Linked DNA regions of Schizosaccharomyces pombe. Changing the gene in region 4 together with the main gene of any one other region gives a genetic interaction. Each region holds a gene or a part of one and is shown on either strand. Other genes may lie near its edges.

What was found.
Region 1: mutations in mug73 (region 4) and fpb26 together harm fitness less than expected from each alone (positive genetic interaction), as found in Schizosaccharomyces pombe (one large-scale study listed by BioGRID).
Region 2: mutations in mug73 (region 4) and SPOM_SPBC1271.03C together harm fitness less than expected from each alone (positive genetic interaction), as found in Schizosaccharomyces pombe (one large-scale study listed by BioGRID).
Region 3: mutations in mug73 (region 4) and ppk9 together harm fitness less than expected from each alone (positive genetic interaction), as found in Schizosaccharomyces pombe (one large-scale study listed by BioGRID).

What each region holds. Positions count from the first base shown.
Region 1 is NC_003424.3:2,058,563-2,064,580, forward strand, and holds fpb26 (fructose-2,6-bisphosphate 2-phosphatase), read right to left. Parts: upstream 2,325-6,018; 5' UTR 1,916-2,324; coding exon 689-1,915; 3' UTR 501-688; downstream 1-500. Other genes in the region: sac12 (inositol polyphosphate phosphatase), read right to left, coding at 3,244-5,079.
Region 2 is NC_003423.3:363,512-369,073, reverse strand, and holds SPOM_SPBC1271.03C (NLI-interacting factor-like phosphatase family protein), read right to left. Parts: upstream 1,869-5,562; 5' UTR 1,796-1,868; exon of another isoform or gene 1,744-1,795; 5' UTR 1,481-1,743; coding exon 746-1,480; 3' UTR 517-745; downstream 1-516. Other genes in the region: oligosaccharyltransferase subunit Stt3, read left to right, coding at 1-516; dys1 (eIF-5A-deoxyhypusine synthase), read right to left, coding at 2,420-2,479, 2,532-3,308, 3,444-3,659; SPOM_SPBC1271.05C (zf-AN1 type zinc finger protein, involved in ER membrane translocation), read right to left, coding at 4,985-5,562.
Region 3 is NC_003424.3:1,603,722-1,609,793, forward strand, and holds ppk9 (serine/threonine protein kinase Ppk9), read right to left. Parts: upstream 3,429-6,072; 5' UTR 3,369-3,428; coding exon 3,254-3,368; intron 3,083-3,253; coding exon 1,599-3,082; 3' UTR 1,352-1,598; downstream 1-1,351. Other genes in the region: COPII-coated vesicle-associated protein Erv25, read left to right, coding at 354-675, 809-1,137; sterol transfer protein Osh3, read left to right, coding at 4,441-6,072.
Region 4 is NC_003421.2:621,857-626,729, forward strand, and holds mug73 (transporter mug73), read right to left. Parts: upstream 2,672-4,873; coding exon 1,751-2,671; 3' UTR 1,660-1,750; downstream 1-1,659. Other genes in the region: msy1 (MS ion channel protein 1), read left to right, coding at 1-1,203; RNA-binding protein mlo1, read right to left, coding at 3,632-4,369. UniProt on the Schizosaccharomyces pombe protein: Has a role in meiosis.

The DNA.
Region 1 (6,018 bases), on a different chromosome or scaffold from region 4:
TCGAGTATGTCAAGGGTTTTATTCTGTCCTGTCATTAGCTGAAGATGATAGGATTTATTTAATGACTTTAAATTGAAGAAGTCTGCTAAAAAATATGATATAAAAGCGACGTTTAATATCAAATACTTTTATCTTGTTGACTTTCTCTAAGGCTAATCAAAAAGTACTCTAACTACTAATACTTTGTTCGCTATTTTGTGAGTTTTTCGATATCTTTAGAATTATGGATTTGCTATCCTTCCTTGCTTAATTATTTGGAAAGTATATACCGTATAACTTTGATTGATCTCGAGAGCAACAGCCACAGTTTTGTAAAACGTGGTTGAAGCTCGATTCTAGAAAAAAAAAAGATAATTTTGCCATTCATGTCTTAAATGCTTCATAGTGCATTAAAGATAACAACTTTATGAATGACATACACAACCAATTGATGGTTCCGAGTAAACTACTTTTTTCTTTCTATTTTCGTTTAAAAGATTTGTTCACGTACAGTAAATACTTTCGGCTATCTGCATAGTGATACGAACTTTAGGTAACTGGAAGAATAATTAACAATAAACTTTGAAAAAAATAATTTTGTATTGAAGTCATCAATGCTGCATTTTATTATTAAAAAATAATTCACAACCTTTGAAAAATTCTGATCAACGTTAAAGGAATAAATCAGCACATTATGAAGAATTTTCTTTCAATGTTTGCCGCGTTGAGTAGAAACAGCAGAAATGGGGACTGTAACACGCTCCTCTATCGTTTCGTATGTCATTGGAGTGAGTTTAATTATTGTATGTAAAGGAACATTAATAAATGGTAATTCCTCAAGTGAAAGATTATGATAGTATCCATAAATACAACGAAGAATAGCTTGATGACATATAATAAAAACATCTCCCTGTCGTTCTAACTCCATAATAATCGGCTCTAACCGCCTTACTACGTCCATATAAGATTCTCCGCCACGATATCTGTAATGAAATTTATCATTATTTCGCAATTCGGCTTCATGAGGAAAATTCTGTTCAATATAATCATAAGTAAAACCATCACACGTTCCTGCATCTAATTCATCCAGTGCTCTCCATTCGAGCTTTTGGCAATTAAGGTGTCGAGCAGTTTGGATAGTCCTAGCCATTGAAGATGTCCAAACCGTAAGTCCTTTTTCACCTATCGAAAACTTAGCAACATATTCAGGAAGAAGAGCAGCATATTTTAGTCCTTGAGGACTTAAGCTTGAGTCACCACCTATTTTTCCTTCAACATTAAATTGACTTTCACCATGTCGGCTTAGCCAAATACTTCGTCGACGCGTACGCAAATTAGAGAGATAATAAACAATCCTAGATTCAAGGTAATTTTCAAGTTTATGAACTATCAGTTCGGCTCCAAAGTCCACAATTCTAACGAAAGTACATTCTTCAGCCTCGGACAAAGGTGTGTAGTGTTTCTCATACTCATGAATACTATCAAGGATTTTATTCTTCGATTCTTCGAACGGAAAGCTTTTGAAATATGGTGAATGCTGACACATATCAGTAATGTTTTCATCGATAATTTTTTGATTTGTGCAGACAACCTCGACAAACATTAAGAGCATATTCCGCGCTTTTGCCAACTCCACTATACTTTTCCGAAACTTTAGTGTACATTGGTTAAAATCAAGAATCGCAACATCAGTACCCTTTTTAAAAACGCTCTCCAGATTATCGAATATGGGGCTAAGAGTTTTAGCTAAATTCTCTGAATCACTGTTAGAATTTTCGGACAACGAATTATCAATTTCTTTCGTATCATAAAGGTGAGTAGAAACGGACATCCATGTCAAATATCTGGATAATTTCATTGCAGAAGATGTCTTGCCAGATGCGGGTAACCCCACAAAGCAAACACATAGGCCCAAAAGTCCTTCAATGTCTTTCATGTTCGATCTTAATGTAAAAAAGTTAGTTCTTAATTTAAATTTTGGGTGTGGTTATGTTGCAAACAAATATTAAAGAATAAATCATAAGAATATGACCAGGTTGCTAATCCTGCCAGAATCGGGTTGAATTATTAAGTGAATATGTTAAATAATGAATATATGTTAAAGAGTCGTATTTCGCTCGAAATGTATGATTCGCCTTGAAGAGCTTGATGGACGGTTTGCAGTACTCGTACTTATGTTAAGTATCCTTAGAGTATGTAGTGAACTCGTCAATGCGTTAAAAAGCTATAATTTTTAAAAAGAAAAACGATTAAATTAATAATATTTAACAGAACGGCTTAAAATATACAAGTTCAGAACATTGCACTCCTGCTAACATAAACAAGAGGGGTATACGTGTAAGTTCAAGCTTAATATACTAAATTGCAGGTCTTCGTTACGCAGTATTATTGCGAGAGATGTTTACGCTTCCGTAAGCTACATTAAGTGATCTCAAGTCTTTGACTTGGTACTAGGAGTAGTTAAATCCACTATTAAAATAATATTCAAAATTAAGTGTGAGCATTTCCATTTCTATAAGCATAATTATGCTAAGCTGATTGTAAAAGTGTATATAATCATTTTCGTAATATTGTGGAGTTTTCATACAAAAACTGTCGGGTAAGGCATAACTTCATCATTTTTTCAGTAATGTGAATTGTGAATTAAGATTCTGGATTGGAAGTATTAGAAAACGTTGCTGAACTGTATGATCTTTTAAAAAATTCATTTTTATAACATGTTCATTGAAAATATTAAACCAGAATGCCCCTAAATTGGAAGAAGTATGTATCCTAAATATTGAACATGAACAACACTTATGAAATTGAAAGAAAGCTTGGCTTTTTCATATATTTCATTTACTGTTTAAAACCGAGTAAAACTTGAGTCAAAAGCCTCAGTGATTCAATGGTCAAAGTTGCCCAATATTTAACACTGACTTAATAAAAGTTAGAAATATTAATTTTGTCTGCTATATTTTTTTCGTGTGTTATCCATACTACAATAGTTTGTTAAGGGCTCTAACAATTATGAAAATCTTAAATTACTAATTGATATTGGTAGGAAGCTTGGAGCAATTAAAGAAAATAAAGTTACAATTACCAATCACGTAAAATGATCTGAATTAGTCACTTGATAAAGTTGGGTAGCATCGCTTTGTTCAGTAGCAAGATTGACATCTATGAAGTCTAATGAAATAAAGAGTGAACTTCGAGTGTTCAAAGAGCGTTTTCTGCTAATTAAGAGTTATAGCAATACTGTTCTTTAGTTATTGAAATGCACAGTTAGACACTTTTTTTGAAAGAGCCGGAACGCAAAAAACGAAACACTTTAAGAGTAATATTTCGGAAATGATTACGAAACGAAAACCAACCTCCCTTAGCATACGTTGGTAGTACTAGACGAGGCCAATTAACGTATTGTCTACGATGAAAATATAGGTAGATTCCAGCATTCACCATAGGGATAGAATATAACAGACGACAGAACAGACTTGGATTTCCAAATAATTCTTGTATAGTTAATATTATCGTGGTGAACAAAAAAATTCCAGGTGCCACAAATCTAGTCCAGTGAAAACGCAAAGGCAAGTCCGGAATCGAAAGTGAGTCGTAAGGACGAAATACTCCAAGACCCAAATCATAGCTATCTTGCAGCATACCGTCAAAAAAATTGTTAAGAATATATCTACGAAAGCAGTTTAATAAATCTTTGAAAGCTCCAAAAATGGTTCTCGTTCCATGGCGAGTCACATCGCCTTTTAAGGCCGGGGTACCAGTGTAGAGATCACTGATATAATCTCCAGTATTAGCCCATATTAAGCGAAAATCTTGTAAAAAACTATCATATTCTTCCAAACTCTCAGAGCTAGAAAGTACACCAATATCGTGTAATTGCATGTTTAGAATAAACTGTGCAATGCTAGTCTGAATGACGTTCGTCCGATCTAAGCAATCCATACAATTTGTCCTTACAAAGTTGGTTTGCATTGCAGTAGTTTTAGATCCATGCTCGGCATAATATTTTCCTTCTATCAAGAGACTTTGAATTTCAGCAAGAAACAAAGGGAGATTTCTACTTCCTTGCTTATGATAATCGTAGTAAACATAAGACAAAGGAGGGTTTTTATTTCGTTTACATAATTTTTCAAACCCAGACCGTAGAGGTGCTTCACGTCCTTTTTGGTCTAGAAGATTGACCACCACAAGATTGTCCCCATAATCGTTGGCAAGTTCTTGAAAATGCTTCCCAAACACAGTCTCGCTATAATCAAGAGGTTGTAAAGATAATAAAGGTCGATAATGAAGATCATTAACTTCGGCCCAGAACATGGGGATACTTCCTCGAATTTGAGTAAAAGAAAGAACCATTTGTTCTTCAAGGGTGATGGGTGATTCGATCATTATTATTTGTTCAATTTCATTAAAATTAGCAGCACTTCCTTGTGCGTTTACACCTCTGGTGAAATACCGCGTACCCGCATAGTCAGGAGAATGTCGTGTAATAACACACAGTCTAAGGTTATAAGTCTTTAAAAACGAGTTAGTAATGGCGATATTACCCTGAATCATCGGTTGAATCCATTCTTGAAAGCCTAAATCCTTATTCGTCAATTCAATTAATTCATGAAATGCATATTTATTCCAAAAAAAGCGGTAATTATATTTTGATGTCAGTTCAAAAGATTGGGTTAGTACGCGTAATCTTTGAAGGGAACAGGTTAGATCTAACGTTGGACTAAAAAGTATTTGGCCTTTTGACAAATGTTTATTGAGCAAACTGATATAATGTAGTTCTTCCTCATCTTTAATATTTAGCAGACCCGTGGAGAATGGAAGAGTCCTTGTAATTGGGAAGATAGCAAATTTCCTTGCCCGATAAATATTGTTTCCGAGAATTGCTGCATGCAAATCACAACTTGTAACAAGAACTACATATTTGTATATTTTCAATCGAATAAATCCATATAACTGAACGTTATTATAGTCAGGTGTCTTGCTGAGATCAAGAGAATTGCTCAAACTAAGGCATCCGTCGACTCTATCTATTCGAAGAGAAGCTTTTTTTTTGGAACATGATAGATAAATGCTGTCTGGAAATACTCTAACGTCCTGATTCATTATTTTGTTGTATTTGAGAAGCGTAGATGCTTTTCTGCTATAATGAACCCCGGACTAATGTATTTTCCAAATTAGGTCTCAAAAGTAAAAAATGAGAATGCTATATTTACAAAAATTCAAATCAAACTCTTTAATGTCCATGAAACGATTTTTGAAGGCTTGATTTCCAACGCAGCGCCTGAGTAACGAGTTCATTGTTACCTGAAGGTTTATGCAGCACGTTTTACAAAACGAACTTTCAGTGACAGTGTAATGTATGATATTATTAACAATTCTCATTGCACTATGTAATGATACGTAAAGTATCGCTATTCATTGTACCTTTGCTTTACAAGATAGGTCGTCTGGTGATGCTGATACTCCCCAATTACCTATATTAAGGCTGAACTACAAACTATAATTCGAAGAATAGGCAAACGAAAATCATAATACTGTATGATATTATTGATTTTGAGAGTAGCAAAAATAATTAATAATTCATCGTAGCGTTTTTCAGATATCACAGAAAACATACCATACTCTATCGCATAATCAAAATAGTTTACGAGCCTTCTTTGACTGCAAGTAACATATAGGCAATGTCGCTTTATATTTTGATACATAATTTCTATAAAAGTTAGGTGTTATATGATAACCAACTCTTCGAAAGGAAGCATATGTTTTGCTTTAATTAAGCTTTATTGATATTTTTACCGTTGTTAAATAATATATACTAAAGATCTGACCCAGTTGAATTTGCTATCTATGTTGTATTGCTTTTTACTAATACAACCGAACTGCCAATTTTTACATAAATATTTTATTAAATCGGATTGAGAAGTAAAAATTATAAAATCATACATTTAATAAAATCCTTTTTCAACACAAATAATCTCCATTGTTAATTAATTGCTTTAACCAACAACCTTGTTAAGCCTAATTTTGACCGCAGGAATTAAA
Region 2 (5,562 bases), on a different chromosome or scaffold from region 4:
AAAGCCATGTCTTCACCTGAAGAAAAAGCTTACCCTATCCTCCGTAAACACGATGTTGATTATATTCTTATTATATATGGTGGTACTCTTGGATACAGCAGCGACGACATGAACAAGTTCCTTTGGATGATCCGAATTTCTCAGGGATTATGGCCCGATGAAATAGTAGAGCGTAACTTTTTTACTCCTAATGGAGAATATCGAACTGACGATGCGGCTACTCCCACTATGCGTGAGTCTTTATTATATAAGATGTCATATCACGGTGCTTGGAAACTTTTCCCTCCCAATCAAGGATATGACCGTGCTCGCAATCAAAAACTACCATCGAAAGATCCTCAACTATTTACTATCGAAGAAGCATTCACTACCGTTCATCATTTAGTTCGTTTGTATAAGGTTAAGAAACCGGATACACTTGGACGCGATTTGAAACAAGTGACATTATTTGAAGAAGGCAAAAGAAAGAAGCTCCGCCGTCCTGCAAAAACTAACGAAATTCCTTTGAGGGTTTGAGTATTGCCATTTTTACTTCCAGTAGAGATGCTTTACCATATGTTCTAATTTACTAAGATTTCATTAGTTCATAACTATTATAACATAAAAATAATACAATAATTAGTAATATCCGCCTAGCTATGTATACTTTGTAAGTTGTTGATAGTTGTTGAGTCACCTAAAAGCAAGTCGAAAAGCACATAAAATCAGCTCCGATTAGAATGAAACAGGTCAAAAGTAAATGATCTCAAGGTTGGGGGTTATCAACTTGGCATTCTTTTTTATAGTTTTCGTCAAGTTCATCCAAGTATTTTAAATTGTCTTCTAGTGACTTATCAGCCAAAATTTTGAAGGGAAATTTGTAGATATAATAGCTAACGTTGGGAACCGATTTCAAATGCTTTAAATATCTAATTACACAAGCAAGTTCAATGTCTTTGGGAATGTTGGAATGTGACTTTGCGACGAAATCAGACACAGCTATATGATTATACGGATGAGCAGCACATTTTGTTTTGGAATCATCAACTATTATAGTGTTGTATTGAGACCAAGAAACAGGTTTACCCGTACTGTCGTGGTGAATTTTTTCCCAAACTGTGTCCAAATTTTTGTAGGTTTGAACTTTTCGGTCAAACTGATGCTTCGTAAGTTTCATATCCACTCTTGTCCAACAAGCTATTAAAGCCTTTTTTTGCTCCTCATTCATGATTGCAGAGAGCATCGCTTGCACATTGTGCGGTTTGGATGAGCTGAACACCATTACCGAGAAGTTGGCGAAGATGTATTTAAGAAAGTTATGAAGACCCGGTCTCGGAATAGGATTACGAGAGGCTTCGTATACGGATTTTTCTGATCTGACTGCAAGCGCGCGACATAGCAAAGTTCCATTCAAGTCTAAAATAACTAATTTCCTATTGTCTGTCGCACCATTGCAAGAAGAGGCCTGCGAAAGATATGTGAGAGAGGGTTCTGGTGCCATTAAGTTTAAAGTTCGTTTTTTGTAAAATTGTATTCTGTGGAAAATTGAGGGACTGATGCGCATCAACCCGATCACTTTTTCGACGGGTAAATTAAACTTGTTTGGAAAATGGTGCTTTGGTATATCAAAGCCAAAAACTGATAAAAATTAACAATATAAAGCTTTGTAGACAACGAATATTAAACGAGTACTTGAAGCCAGCACAATACAAAGCACTAAAATTCTACGTTACAAGGAACTCGACAAATAATCGCAGGAAATGACTAAAACCGTAAAAGAATTAGTTTGTTTCTTCGCTTCGAAGATTAAACTTACAATCCTTCTATAATTAGCGCGTTTCGTAGTGATCCCGACACATCTACCTCTTATATGTTTTGATAGGTGTTCAGAAAGTAAACTGGAGTTCTGAGAAGTTTATATTTGCGAACTGGCGGGTCATATCAAATACGCGGAAATACGGGAATAATTATTATAACTAATGCCTAGCCACAGTGGATCATAATCTGAATGTTTCACAATTGACACCTCATCCGTGTGGCTGTACAATGAATTTTGGAACTGCTAGCTGTAAGGTGATTGTGAGATAAACCATAAGACAAGGAAATATAAAACTAGTAGTTTTTAAACGGTTGCTAATTAGGAATATTAATACGGACACTTCATGATTACAAACAACCAAAATGACATTAGGCAGTTAACTAAACAATATGACAAGTTAGTATTATTTCTCGTAAAAAAAAATTTATGATTAAACAAACATAATTGATTTTTTGTAAGCAACATTTTAATGTATATTTAATAATTTTTTCTATAAAAACCCAAACATTGGTGAACTTTTTAGGAGATTGAAATGCCTTTGCTTTTGATCAGTATAAAAAACAAACGCCCCATAAGAATCGTGTTCTAGGAAAATAAAGCTAAATTCTATATTATTTTAATTCACTTCGCGAAGGTAGCGGCCACAATTAAAGGAAATAAGAGACTCACCTCCCCGTAAACCTACAGACATCAAAAGTTAGAATTTGCTATATACAAGTATAGCGTCACATACCTTTACTTTCTTAGCATCGCCACGAATTTTTCCCCAACTGACAGCTTCATCGGGTCGAGCACCAGCATCACTACCATCAAATTCGTTGGCAGAATTGATGTAGACGCTCCATTCTGCCCCATTGCGCATTAAGTTTGCATTGCAAATATGATGCTTGACAACACCACCCCCAAGAATGATGATTCCAGACTTGTTGGCACGAACAGCATGAGTATTCATGTTTCGGATATCTGCGACAATATCCAAAACTAATGGACGAGGAGTCGCTTTGTAAGTATGGAAATAAAGCATATCACCAATCGATCCATCTGTAAGAGCAGGACTATAGATAGGTATATTATTCTTATATGCCCAATACAAAACACTAGACTCATCATTGATTTCTTTACCCAGACGACGGATAAAGGATGAAGGAGTCCAATGAGTACCAAGAGTCTCTTGTTCCTCGACCATTTTATTAAGGATGGGAAATATCCATTCCTCAAAACGGCAATAATTATCGTTTGGAACAATCAAGTTACCGATACGGTTCAAACCTTTGGCACGAAGATTTTTCCCATCTAAATGAAAGTCGCCAACATAAGTAGGGCCAAGACACTTAATTATGTCTTCTTCAACACCTCCAGCTGTTGTAACAATAACATCTACACATTTGTGCTGGACCAGATAGCGCAAAACTTCACGGACGCCAGAAGATATCAAGTTACTGGTGTAACCAAGGAAAATGGTAGCACGATCACTTTTCTCTTCGGGGGGATTGGGATCGCGCCAATTTCTCTGTAACAATTAGTATTGCTCAATCGATATGTGCCTAGCAGGCATAAAGTAAGTCATATTTTTTCACAATTTTAACAGAATAGCGTATGAAAGCTAAAAGAATATCAAGAAAAAAAAACTACATTTTAAACATACCATCTCATTTATGATAGTCACCGCATCATGAAGGTTGGTAGCCTGGAATCCAATTTTTCCATACGACTCGACCAACTCTTCTACTGTTATGCCAGGTCCTCCAGCCTTCTTTCTCTCATCATACTTGTTAAAATCTGGTCCGACGACTTCAGTTGTCAAATCACTAGGCTTTGAAGAGGCTACAAAAACGGCGTCCTTTGCTAGAGATTCATCCATGGTTTACGATAATTATCGGTATGGTAAATTTCTGAATAATTCCAAAAAAAAAAAAAAGCTTTTTAATATATGTAAATGAGTCTATTTAATGAAAGAAAATCAAATATTATAAGACTCAATTCCCTTAGTGTAGAGGAGAAAAATTCTAACAACACGAATGATTTAAGCAACAATTTTGATTTTTATAATTTATCAAAAAACCCGAGAGAAGATGACAATTATTCTAATTACTCTCTCAAAATATGAAAATTTTTAAACAAAAGGCTAAAAAAATGAAGAAAAAAGTTTCCAAAGCAGTTTTCGTTGACTTTTTACGATATACGTTCCGGGTACTGGGTTTCGTAGAAAATCGATCTACATGAATTGCCTGACTTGAATGAAAATTTCCATCACTAAAATAAATTTTGGATTGATGCGATTAAATTACTTGATCGGATGCCGACCAAAAGAGTTGAATACATGATTTCAAATGACTATAAGCGAAAATGCTAGGGGGCTTTACATTACAAGTATAAGGAATTATAACTGGTTTAAATCTAAGTACTTAAAAAAATTTTAAAGCAACTTTCAAAGATTTATTCATCTGTTTAAAAATATTTCAGCAATCTATCGGAAAAACAAGATAGTCAAGTCCAAGAAACCCACAAAAAAATGAGTTAGCTGACACTAGGTATTAAAACATTGCACCAAATCAGCAGGCAACTGGAGTTAAGTAATTTTGATCTTAAAGCAATGAATTTTTCATAAAAGTTTTTGAGAATACCAGATGGTAAATTCAAGAGATATGTGGCGAACAGAGATAAGAGTAGTATAGAAACAATTAAGCTTGATTACAGGTACCGAGTTCACCAAATCAACTCACGATTACAGTTGAGGATAGTAAAATATTAGAAAGAGCATATGAAAATTACACATGGCTCTAATGTCAAAAGCCTACTGCTTGGCAGACGGGAAAAAAATAAAATAGAAAGTAAGTATCATAATGGAAGTACGATTATTCATTAAACAGTCAAATAAAACATTAGAAAATGCAAACGAAAATGAGGTAACTGCTGTTGAAAAGGGAAAAAAAGTAGATCAAAAAATCGTGGATCCATCATTACTGATTGAAATTATAGGAACGATAAAATTCGGAGCGTCAAAGGGAAGATATTTAGAAAACGAAGATGACGGGAAAGGTAACGTGGCCTCCCGTGCAAACAAAGCCAGCTAAAACATTAAAAATAATAATAAGGATAACAGTAATAATAAAACTCCAGCTTAAGAAGAAGAAAAAAAAGTTCTAAGATGGTGTTTTGTAAAAATGTTCAAGTTAAGAATGGATTTTAAACTTTACTTATCAAGGTATCACCATGTTCTTTTTCAAGTTTTATACGGTTGCGTTCATGCTCTTCCTTTCTGAGAGAGAAAAGAGCAACGCAATCATGATCTTCCATAAGACGATGGGCAGCACAAAATCTGCCATTGCAATGCAAGCAATTGCCAGCGAGGCGCAAAGTAATCCTCGTGCAAGTTGGATGGCAACAACGTCTTCTAGAAGTCGCTGGGCGGGTAAGTAATGCTTTGTCAGAACTCTTCTCGGATTCAAGAGGAGGGTTTGTTAAATTGGATTTAGAAATTGAGGGAATGGTAGAGGATTGCTTGAAATTCGACACAGCTTCCGTAGATGCATGATTAGGAGTTAAAGGGGAAAAATGTAAGTGGAAAGCAGATGTAGAGTAGTCTTTGAAATCAATGTCACATGAAGAAGGTAATGGTGCAATATGAACGGCAGAGTCGTGGATAATGCCATAATCAGCGCAAGTCATATTCATGTTTAAACGAGTTCCATGGTAATAAAATGCATGGAGTGATTTTGCATTTTTTGGGAGGATTCCCTGATCAGATAGCAAATCAAAGATAT
Region 3 (6,072 bases), on a different chromosome or scaffold from region 4:
TTGCTAGTGATATCGATGGCTATCTTATGTTTACATTGCTAAATGAAACCCTTCAACGCCCCTTACTCATTTTTTAAGGCTATAAGAGATCCGCAAAAAAAAATTGAGTTATTTCTTACACTAATAAAAGTTGATTCGTAAGGAAGTATCTCAGAATTCTTATTTTTGTATTTTTTGTTGCATTGTAGCTGTAAGGAAAGTTAATGAGACGCAGCGCACACTCCCCCTTGGCATTCGGTTTACCATCATTTAACTAGAACAGGCAAGATTTCTTTCTTTTGCCAACCTGTATACAGCAGTGGTGGTTATTACGTCGTTCATATCGTATCCCAAACATTTGGAGTTATTTCAAAATGATGGTTTCTTTGAAATCTTCGTTGTTCTTTATGCTAGCATTATTGACTGTTGTCCATGCTTTAAACTTTGATATTCCTGCCAAAACCAATCCAGAGCCTTTCTGTCTTCGTGAATACGTAGGAGAAAAGAACCTTGTAATTGTTAATCTGAAAACTACTGGTAATATGGGAGATGGACAAACCTTGAGTATGATGATAACTGATTCATCTGGCAACACTCATAGCAGTATTCAAAATGTCTTAGGCGAGAAGAGTGTTGCCTTTGACGTTGATGCTTCTGCTATGCTCGATATTTGCTTCCTAAATACTTTGACACCAGGTATGGTACTATATCTAAAAGTCGTATTTACTTCAACGGCTATTTTGATTTGTTTACGTTGTTTAGATCCCTTTCTTTCTTTGAAAAAGAAATCCTTTATGAGTTTAGCTTTCTGACTGACATTTAAATGTAGGTGCTATAGAGTCTGAACATAAAAAGCGATCCGTCAAACTTGAGTTTACTGTAGGCGCTGACGCCGATGATTATTCTTCATTGCAAAAAGCAAACAACTTGGAACCTGTAGAAGCTGATATCCGTCGTGCAAGAGACTTCATTGAAGAAATCAAAGGAAAAATTTACTATTTGCAAGCTCGCGAAGCTAGATTCAGAAACACTAATGAAAGTACTAATGAGCGTGTCAAGAATTTTGCATATCTTACTTTTATCTCATTATTTGTTCTTGTTATATGGCAAATCCTCTATTTACGTTCATTTTTCCAAAGGAAGCATCTTATCCCTTAAATTTCACATGAACAATAAATATACGTATACGGCATACTTGGCACTTCCACAATTTCCAAAAATTAATTGGTTGCTTTTATATTCCGTACTAGGAATTACTGTGAGTATGGACAAACATTCACATTTAATGCATATACACTACTTCACTCTTTAACTTCATGAATAAAAATAAAAGATTGTAGTAAATTACATTAGCATAATTCTGTTGTAATATTACAACTGTTTATCTTCATTGTTTGTGAAATAACTAACAAATTCAAAAAACAAAAGGGAAATGTAACAACTGTGAATTCTAATTGAAACTAAATGAGAAAGTCGTAACAAAAATATCAAAATTCAACTTAGTTTCACAATATTAGTAAATGCAAACAATATTGAAAACAAAAGCTTTACAACAAAAAAAATCGTAAAAGAAAAAAAAAGGATAAAAAAGGGAATTAGGTTGAGTTACGCGACTGACCTTATGCAATTTTAAGGATCAATTGTTTGACAACTTCTAAAAATGGCATTGGACTGTAAGATGAAGTGTACTTTATAGAATCATCACTACTAGAAAAGCGGATATCAATCACGCTAGCAGATGGTCCAATAGAGAATAATTCAATAACCAGATAAACAGGAGAATTATGACATGTAATGCATGAAAACACTTTATACTTATTTTCCTTTAGAAAAGATTCCTCATCACAGGGCCGAAACCGAGCTCCTAACTCAAGTAAAGCCTCACATAGCTTTCTCAATACTTCAATTGGATTTTTGGCAGTTTGAATCCCATAATGCCAGCGTAAAGAACGAAGTCGGTTGGGGGCGGGAGGTCGGGATAATGGATGGTTGTAGACCTTATTCATGAATGAAGCATGTCTCTGTGGAAGAGAAGAGCGTAAAGTTTCAACGTTAGAAGGAATTGGTGGAATATCAGTAGGATCTAAAAATCCGGATGATTCTGCCATGTCAGAATGCCACGAAGTAGCCGAATACAAGTCCTCATACGACGAATAACATAAAGATGCGGGATCTGGATTAGGAGATTCAGTACCTGAAATGGACATTGGTTTTGACGGGGATAGGGCTGAGTGATCTGTGGGCTGAGGAATTTGACCTACACTACTGGAAGGCGAAGTTATGGAAGGGTCGAAAAGAATAGCAAGATCTGGAGGAGAAAAGGTGACAGATCGATGCTTGGAAGAAAAGGATGAAGTACGGGAAGGTAAACGGGAATGCGTGGGAAGATCAGCGATAAACCAAGGATGTTGCATTATTTCTGCAACTTTGATTCGTGAAGTAGGAAGCACCATTAACATTTGACGAATGAGATCTGAGGCTGAAGAAGATACAAAACTAGGAATGGTGTAGATTCCTTTACAAACGCGACTTAATACATTGGAGATGGTTACATCCTCAAAGGGAAACTCGCCGACGAGCATCAAATACAATAAGATTCCGCAACCCCATACATCTACATCACAACCATCATAATAACGGCCTTGAATAACCTCAGGAGCAGCATAATGGGGAGTACCGCAAGAGGTACTCAGAAAGGAACCATCAAGCATAAAATTGGAAAGGCCAAAATCCGTGAGCTTGACAACCAGATCTTTATTAAGTAAAATGTTTTCCAACTTCAAATCTCGGTGAGCAACACGATGAAGATGACAATAATCGATGGCATGGACAATTTGTCGAAAAATCTTGCGAGTGGTACATTCATCCAGTCGATTATGCTTAACCACCATACTGTGCAAATCAGTATCCATATACTCTAGTGCGAGCACTGTGTACTTGGGAACCCGAAACACCTGGTATAGGGTGATAATGTTTGGATGGTGCAATTGCCTTAAGATTGTCACTTCTCTTTGTAAACGCTTCCACGTATCTTTATCTTCCAATTCATCATTGTAAACCATTTTCAATGCGACCTTTTCATTTGTTTGAAAATGCTTGCCCACTACACTGTTAGCCATCGTACAATTGCCAAAAACAAAATCAAAGACGATCGATGCGCAAGATAACCATGACACCTAAGTAGTCTATCTCTACTGTCTATAAGTAGTCTACTCTATCTTATTAACAAGCCCCTACAAGACAAAGTCAACTAAATTTCACCTCATGTACTTACATTTCACTTTGGCCAAGTTTCCTTGTCCCAAAGTCCTTCCCAAAAGCCAAGGCCCAACATAGGTGTTTCCTGAATCCTTTTCAGACTCTGCCGATGCAGAAGAAGGGGTTTGCATAGCAAGTCGAGCCAGCTGACTTTATAGGATGAAATTCGTTATTCGTGTATATAGGTGGTTAGCATGTGCATGTTGCTGCATACCGTCCGACTTAAACATGATCCGCGCATCTGATGCTAATTTGTTAGCGATAAAAAAGGTGCACGAGGCAAAGTAGTGTGATTCAAAGCAACCTTGTAATAAGATTATATGGCGTAACGTGCTATCTTTTGGTAAACATCTCCACGGCGACATTGCAGACAACGCTAGCGTTCGATACGAGCAACCAATCTGCACTTTATTTAATTAAGGTACGCGGTCTATGGGTTATCAGATGCATAGGTATGTAAATTTTGTGTTATGAAATGGAAAATCGAGCTGGTATTGTGTTATGGGAAATTATGCCAATTTTCAAAGTTTATGAGTACATGGGAACTCTCTATTTACCCTCTTCCATCATTAGATCCGTCCCAACTTCTAGCCAAAATTTTTTGCACAATAAGCTACAACAATACAGCCGTGATAATGATAAAATTAGTAAAAGCAGTAATAGAAATACTCAAAGACAATTAAATAAAAAATTACAACAGCTAGATTTTTTGACTACAGAAAACATTTGATTTTCGGTTTAATCCCAAAAACCCGCATTATTTCGCACGATGCCATCAATGCTAGTAGACAAACATAAAACCGCATATTACAGACCGTGCGAATGTTTTTGTATAGCTATTTTTTAATGTAAAGTATATTTTGCCATATCTGAAATAGCCCGATCGAGGCATCCCAAGTACACACTACGGAAAGTGATAAGTGCAAAATTTTCTTTGTATCCGTTTACATACTGGCATACCTATTGCCGCTACCAGCCCTTTGTTTACTACTTAAGTATACATTACATTAGGTGGCCGCCAAAAAACCGAACGTTCCGCATCGGTAAAATACCTTGGAGTCATTCGCCCGAAAATCCCGAAACCGAAAATCCATCTCTTACCACATACGTTTAGGCAATTATTTTATTCCTCTCCAGTCATCAATTGAAAAAAATAGGCTTTCTAAGTTTTGCAATTATCACAGTAGAAGTCCATGAGTCAACATGGAAACTGTGGAGATACGAAGTAAGAGTCTGTTGATACAATGGCTCACGGTGGAATCGAATTCCTTACTGAGTTGGCAACTGCATGTGAAACGGAAAAGCATAAAGTTTGATATATATCATAAAAAGAATGACACATCTAGCTTGCTAGATGGATCCAACAAAAACACCGATCGTTCCATCCTGCATACAAAGCGTCAACACACTCACGAAGCTGGTATCAAGAAGTTGAGTGCTGCTGGGTTAGAATTATTTTATCAAGGAGAGCGATGTATGTCGGAAAAGCCTAGTGAGGGCTCTGTCTACATTGAGAATGGAGGACTTTATGCCTTCGTGTTTGATAACACTTTTTCGAAAACAAAACCAAAAACTGTGACCTTCCTCTTGACCGCGCAACCATACAACGGTCCGAGAATACCAAATGCATCAGTCCATGGCTCTCCTAAACAAATTATTTCTGGAACCTTGCTTAAAAAGCGCCGAAAGAAGGGCCAAGGCTATGCTCGACGTTACTTCACTCTCAACATGGTGGAAGGCACGATCTCATACTATGCTAACGAAAATTCTTCGGTAATGCGCGGTAAAATTCCCTTGAGCATTGCTGTGATTAGCGTTGCTGCAGAGACGCATGAGATCAACGTTGATTCAGGCGTAGAACTGTGGAACCTACGAGCACATACTCACCAAGATTGGCTACGTTGGTGCAATGCTTTGGAAAAGGCGAAAAATAGTCAAACTTCTTCAAAGCTCGTAGTAGACGAAAGGACACAAGAATCGTCATCCAATCAGTTAGTCTCTATTTACTCAAGACTACGTGAATGCCTGGATATTGCTCAATTGTATCGCACCAGTCGTATCAAATCGGCTTCAAGTCATAATTTTTCTGTCCCTGAGATCCGTATACAACTTCCCGGTGATGCCAAAGAAAACAAGGAAACCCGTACTTCAGTGGAAATTACTGCTGCTGAAAACGCGCAAGCTGCGGTTACTTTACGCAAGGTTACTCGTCAACTCGGGTCTTTGTTGCATGAACTGGAATGCTTTATTCAACACCATGAATATACTAAAGAACGTACGGCGCAATCTTCTCCTTCGTCACGCATGTCTATGGATTCCAATTTTGAGCAACATTGGTACGACGCTGAAGATTATGAAAGCACAACTTCTCAATTGAATCACTATTCTGAGTCGGGTGCTCACGCAGCTGATGCTACTAAATCAAGTGTTGCTCATAATGAAAAGGTGGAGGACATCTCTGATTCCGATATTCCAATAATGAAAACTTCTTCTAATAGCACTTCCCTTGATGCAGATCGTGATTCTGACACTTCTTCTATTTCCGATACATCATCCAACTCTTCAGCTCCACATGAACAGTTGAATGCAACTTCTCTCGCCTCAACAGTAGATGAGTCTTCTCGGTCACCGCCTCTTCCCGAAGTTGAAAGCAATAAAGAAAACGATATCAAAAGAAAACAGCCATTCCATGATTTAATGGATTCTTCATCACCGGATGATTCCAGTTTTGCCAATGCTAAAAGCGATGAAGAGGTTCAAAAGCCTTCTGTTTCTAAAAACATCGCCGACGGGGCCGTTATTTCTATCCCTAAGCCTCTCACCCCTAAACCCTCC
Region 4 (4,873 bases):
TTCTTATACTTGATTGCCCGTAACTTTAGCGGTGTACTTACCTCTGCTGGAACTACTTTGCTAGGTTTGTCTTGGCTGTTCTCCGGCTCCGCACAGGAATTACTTAGTTCTATTATATTCGTATTTGTGAAACATCCTTACGATGTGGGCGATCGTGTCGATGTCATGATCAATGGCACAGTCACTTCAGCGATGGTCAAGGAAATTTCCATCATGTCTACCGAGTTTCGTCTATTGACTGGAAAAGTCATTCAAGCTCCAAACAGTTTGCTGAACACCCTTTGGATTTTGAACATGCGTCGTAGTGATGGCATTGCTGACCCAGTCACCGTTAACCTGAAGTTTGGAACTACTCTTCAGCAAATTGAACAACTGCGAATCAAAATTATTGATTTTTTGAAAGAAGAGAAGCGTGATTATAAACCTGACTTACTAACTGAAGTTACGGATTTACCGGATCTCTATTCCATGTCTTTGTGTGTTGTATTCTTTCATAAATATAACTTTCAAGACGAGGTTTTACGTATGCGTCGAAGAAATATGTTTATGTGTGCATTGATGACTTATATGCAGGAATTGGATATTGTATCTCCTATTTTCAACAGCCCTGGTAAATCAAAGGATTCACCTATGTATGTCAACTTCAACAATGGTTCAATGGAGGGTGTTAAGTTATCTGGTGGTAATGATGGTGGTGGTACTGAAAATCATCGCGACAGCACTGTTGGCGGAGGAATTCTGAAGAACCCAAAAGCATATCCTTACCGCGAACCTACTCCTCCTGGTAGTTCAGATTCCGATACCGCTAGTGTTTCTAAAAAGCGTGTTGACTTTTCCCTTGGAACACGGCATCTGATGCCTGCTTTTGATGATGTTGCTGATATTGGAAGTAAAAGGCTTGGTCGTGATAGTCTTCCCGATGCTGTCATTGAAAACGCTGGCACAGAGGCCATGCGACGCGAAGCTGAGGAACGTCGCCGAGCCGAAGAGGAAGAGTACGAACGTTCTCAACAAGAATCTAGTTCGAATGAAGAAAACGAAAATGCATCGCGTACGTCAGGTGCTCGTTTTAGCTTTTCCTCTAAAGCTAGTCGTTTGTCGGCTAGACCCAGTGCTCGTACAGTTCCTCCGTTGCAGCATATATCAATTCAAGACTTACGTGAGCCAAACGAAAATAATACTTCTAAGTCTGCTCGACTTTAAATACCCATAACACTTTGCAAACTTGCATCGCTCATGCTAGTTTTACTTACTTCATTCGTTGAAAGTGGCTATTTACCATTTTGGGCACTATTTGTTTCTTTTTTTTAGTTTTTATTTATTATTCTATGAAATGTTTAAACGTATATTGTATCTCAACAGCAAATTTTTGTATTAATATTAGCTATGCCTTGTAAAGTTTCGTAAAAGTTATGCAAATGATTTACGAATAATCTTAAACTAAAACTAGTATAATGCTTTTTTCACGTAAACAATGACTCACCGTCGTAAATTTAGACGTTTCAAGTGCGAATGAACGTTAATAATTGTTCAAAGGTTTCGTTTTTATAATAATTATTTCGTTTTCATAATCGTAATTTTTCACGAAAAAGTGTTTGTGTTTTAGAATGCCAACGAAATTCTCGTAGCGAAACTTCGAGTTTGTTTTAAACATTCAGGAAACAAATAATGATTAAAAAACAAAAAAAAAAAAAACGGAAGGTAAATTTCTATAACTAAGCAAAGATAACTGCAACGATGCGTACTGTTATTAGCAATTATTTTTCGTAGGTGAAGAAGGTAAATTGGAAATTTGAATGCGAGTTTCAACGGCCAAATCATCAGCTTGGTTTTGTGCCTCCATGTCCGGACACATTGAAAACTTGTCATCAGCAGGACTGCATGCCCCTAAGGGTATCGATTGAGGCGATTTAAAGTTTTCAATACCAACCAAGTCTAGCATCCAAGAAAAAGCAGCGCCAAAAAAGCCGAATTCGAAAAGATCTAATATACTGTAAAATATGGCTTCTCCAATTGGCGAGATAACATTGAGGCCCTCAGATAAAATCCAACATGCATAATAGAGGAACCAAATGACATGTAAGTAAACAATTGACCATAAAAACCCTAGGCGCGCAGACGTCTCTAAACGGCTAGCATACTTTTTATGCAAAACGACTGAGTGTGCCAATGCAATAAAATAGCCTACAAACGAAAATCCGTAATAGGCCCATTTATAGGGAGATGAAGTTAATGCTGCCGCCAGTAAGCAAACAATCGCAAAAAGCACATAGCAAACGACATATGCAATTTCTAGTATAGATACGCCTACCGTCCAATGTAGCATTACGATGATTAATGGGAAATTGATTAACCATTGAATATAGCGAACATAGTAAACCATTCGTACACTAACTTCTCGAAAAAAAGAAGCAGAAGAAAACACATTTTTCAATCCATAATTGCAGGCCATGGTAAAGTAGGCCAAGCAAGAAACCAAACTGAGGATGGAAAAGAAACGGTGGTAAGTCTGCTTTTGAGGCAAACTGAATATCGATACTAAAGGAAAGACAATTGCGCACAGCAGGAACACTGCAAAAACAGCCCAATAGTAGTTTGAGCTTATCTTTTGCAAAGCGACTTCCGGAAGCTCTTTCAGTACCATTCCGGAGGAAGATAATTTCGCATTCATGATGCGTAAACAGGATAGAGGCTGGATTAAAAGATATAGAAACAACTCTTATATTCTTAAAGGTAGCGATACTAGTTGAGTTGAAAAGTCAAAACTTTGTAATAATGGGTAGCTGAGACACGGTGAAGGTGGCTCTGAGAAAAGTCGATTAAAAAGCCATGTTTGTAAACAAACAAACTTCAACATGTAAACAAACAATGATGTTACTCTTTCCCATTAAAAGGCATTTTAATTGACTCTAATTGAGAAAACGCAAAAGAACATTACAGCCAGCAATGTCAAATTTTTCACTTTTTCTTACTTACCGATGACAGCAAAACAGGTAAAGTCGCACGTTACAGAAGAAGTCCGAAGTTGAGAAACAAAAAGGTATAATAAAAAAATAAAATTCCAACCTGTAGAAAATAGTTTATGTACAAAAATTAAGAATTTCGACATTGTTGGAAGTAAAGGTGGATACATCATATAAACATTACAATCCTTCTCTTTTTCTTAAATACAAATAAGCTCATCAAAATATATACATATGGATAGCAGAGTGGAAAATCTTTGTAACGAATGTGTATGTCAAAACGATTAGAACGAAGAGTTTTTTAAAAATGGAAAACATATGAGTATAGGTAACTATTAAAGAATTCGCCTAGGAAATACTTACATCACGCCCCAAAAAGCTATTAAAAAAATAAAACCGAGTTTTCACAGATGTTTTAAAACACACCTAAAAGGTAGGATTGAAATTAGAAGCGTTTAGGGCTCCAATATCGGATGCTTGTACTCGGATAAGTTGTTTAAAGTGAAGCAAAAGTCTGGGTATAATTTATATACACAAATAGGAATTCAAAAGTTCTAATTCATCAAAAAAGCATTAAGCATACAAATAAAGCATGGCATGAGGAGAAAACTTCAAGAAACATGAGTCATATTGTAAAATAAGAAGTTAAAATATGTTAAATGGTTACTTTAATTCTTGGCAGCAACACCAAAGCGCTCAGCACGCTTCCTAGCTTTTTCTGCCTCTATAGGGTCGTCCAAAATATTACTCTTCCGCTTGGATGGAGCACTTTTAGGAGGCGCATTCTTATTTCTTTGTTTAGAACGTGAGTTGGAACGATTTTGAGGGTTCTTAGATTGATTATGGTTTTTGTTATTACTTGACGCTAAAGGTTGTTGAATGCCAAAACGTGCAGCACGAGCAGCTTTCTTAATTTGTTCATCGTCCACAGGAATGCCAAATCGTTTAGCCCTTTGGATGAGTTTTTCTTGCTCTTTAGCTACATCTGGGCTAGAGACTTCATTAGATACACTTTGTTTGGATTCCTCTGTGGTTTCTTGATGCTCTTCAGCACCAGTGGAAGTTTCAGGAGCTTGTGAAGTCTCTTTCGAAATAATGCTTTCATTTTCCTTTTCAATCTCTACAGCAGCGGCAGGAGCACTGGTCTCTTTACTTTCGGGTTCTGCTGGCTTGTTAACGTCAGTTGAAATAGTATCATTCTCCATGTCTCCCCAATCAATATCATCCTCGGGAGGAGCAAGATCTCCTAGATCTGTAGCGTTGTTATTCGAAGTATTTTCATCGTTACTCTCGGTCGCTGCTGTCAATCGGCTTACCAATTCAGCTTTGTTTCCAGCAGTGGAGAGGCCTTTCTCCGCAAGTTTTTCACGCAGTTCTGCAACTTTAAGACTCTTGTAATCTGACATTATGAATATAGACGTATATGCGCGTCAAAATAACACGTTTATTGAATTCGGGATATACGCAGTTGACAAGGGTGAATATGTACGAACCAGCCAACTTTAGTGAGACATGTTGGATGCGCAAATGAAGCGTAGTGAATTGGAGTGATGATTGTGTCAAACATAGTGGTGCTATTTTGCGTATCGCTATGTAATGTTTACTGTGCTATGGTGAGGAGATGGTTCAAAGAAAATGTCTATAAACGATGTTGGGATATACTTTCTCCCTTTTATATGAAATGTACGAATCAAAATCAGTAATCAGTTAGATTATTTAATATTTATTTTTTACTTTAATTAATCGTAATTTTGAATTGGCATTTTAAACCGATTTCTAGAATACTAAAAGAGCTTGAAGAAAGAGCAAATCATTCATTCGTTCCTTACAAAGTTATTATTATAGTTTACTTGTAGATAGTGAAAAAACTCCATTTATTGAACTGGGTATTTGCTGCTACGTTTGCTTTA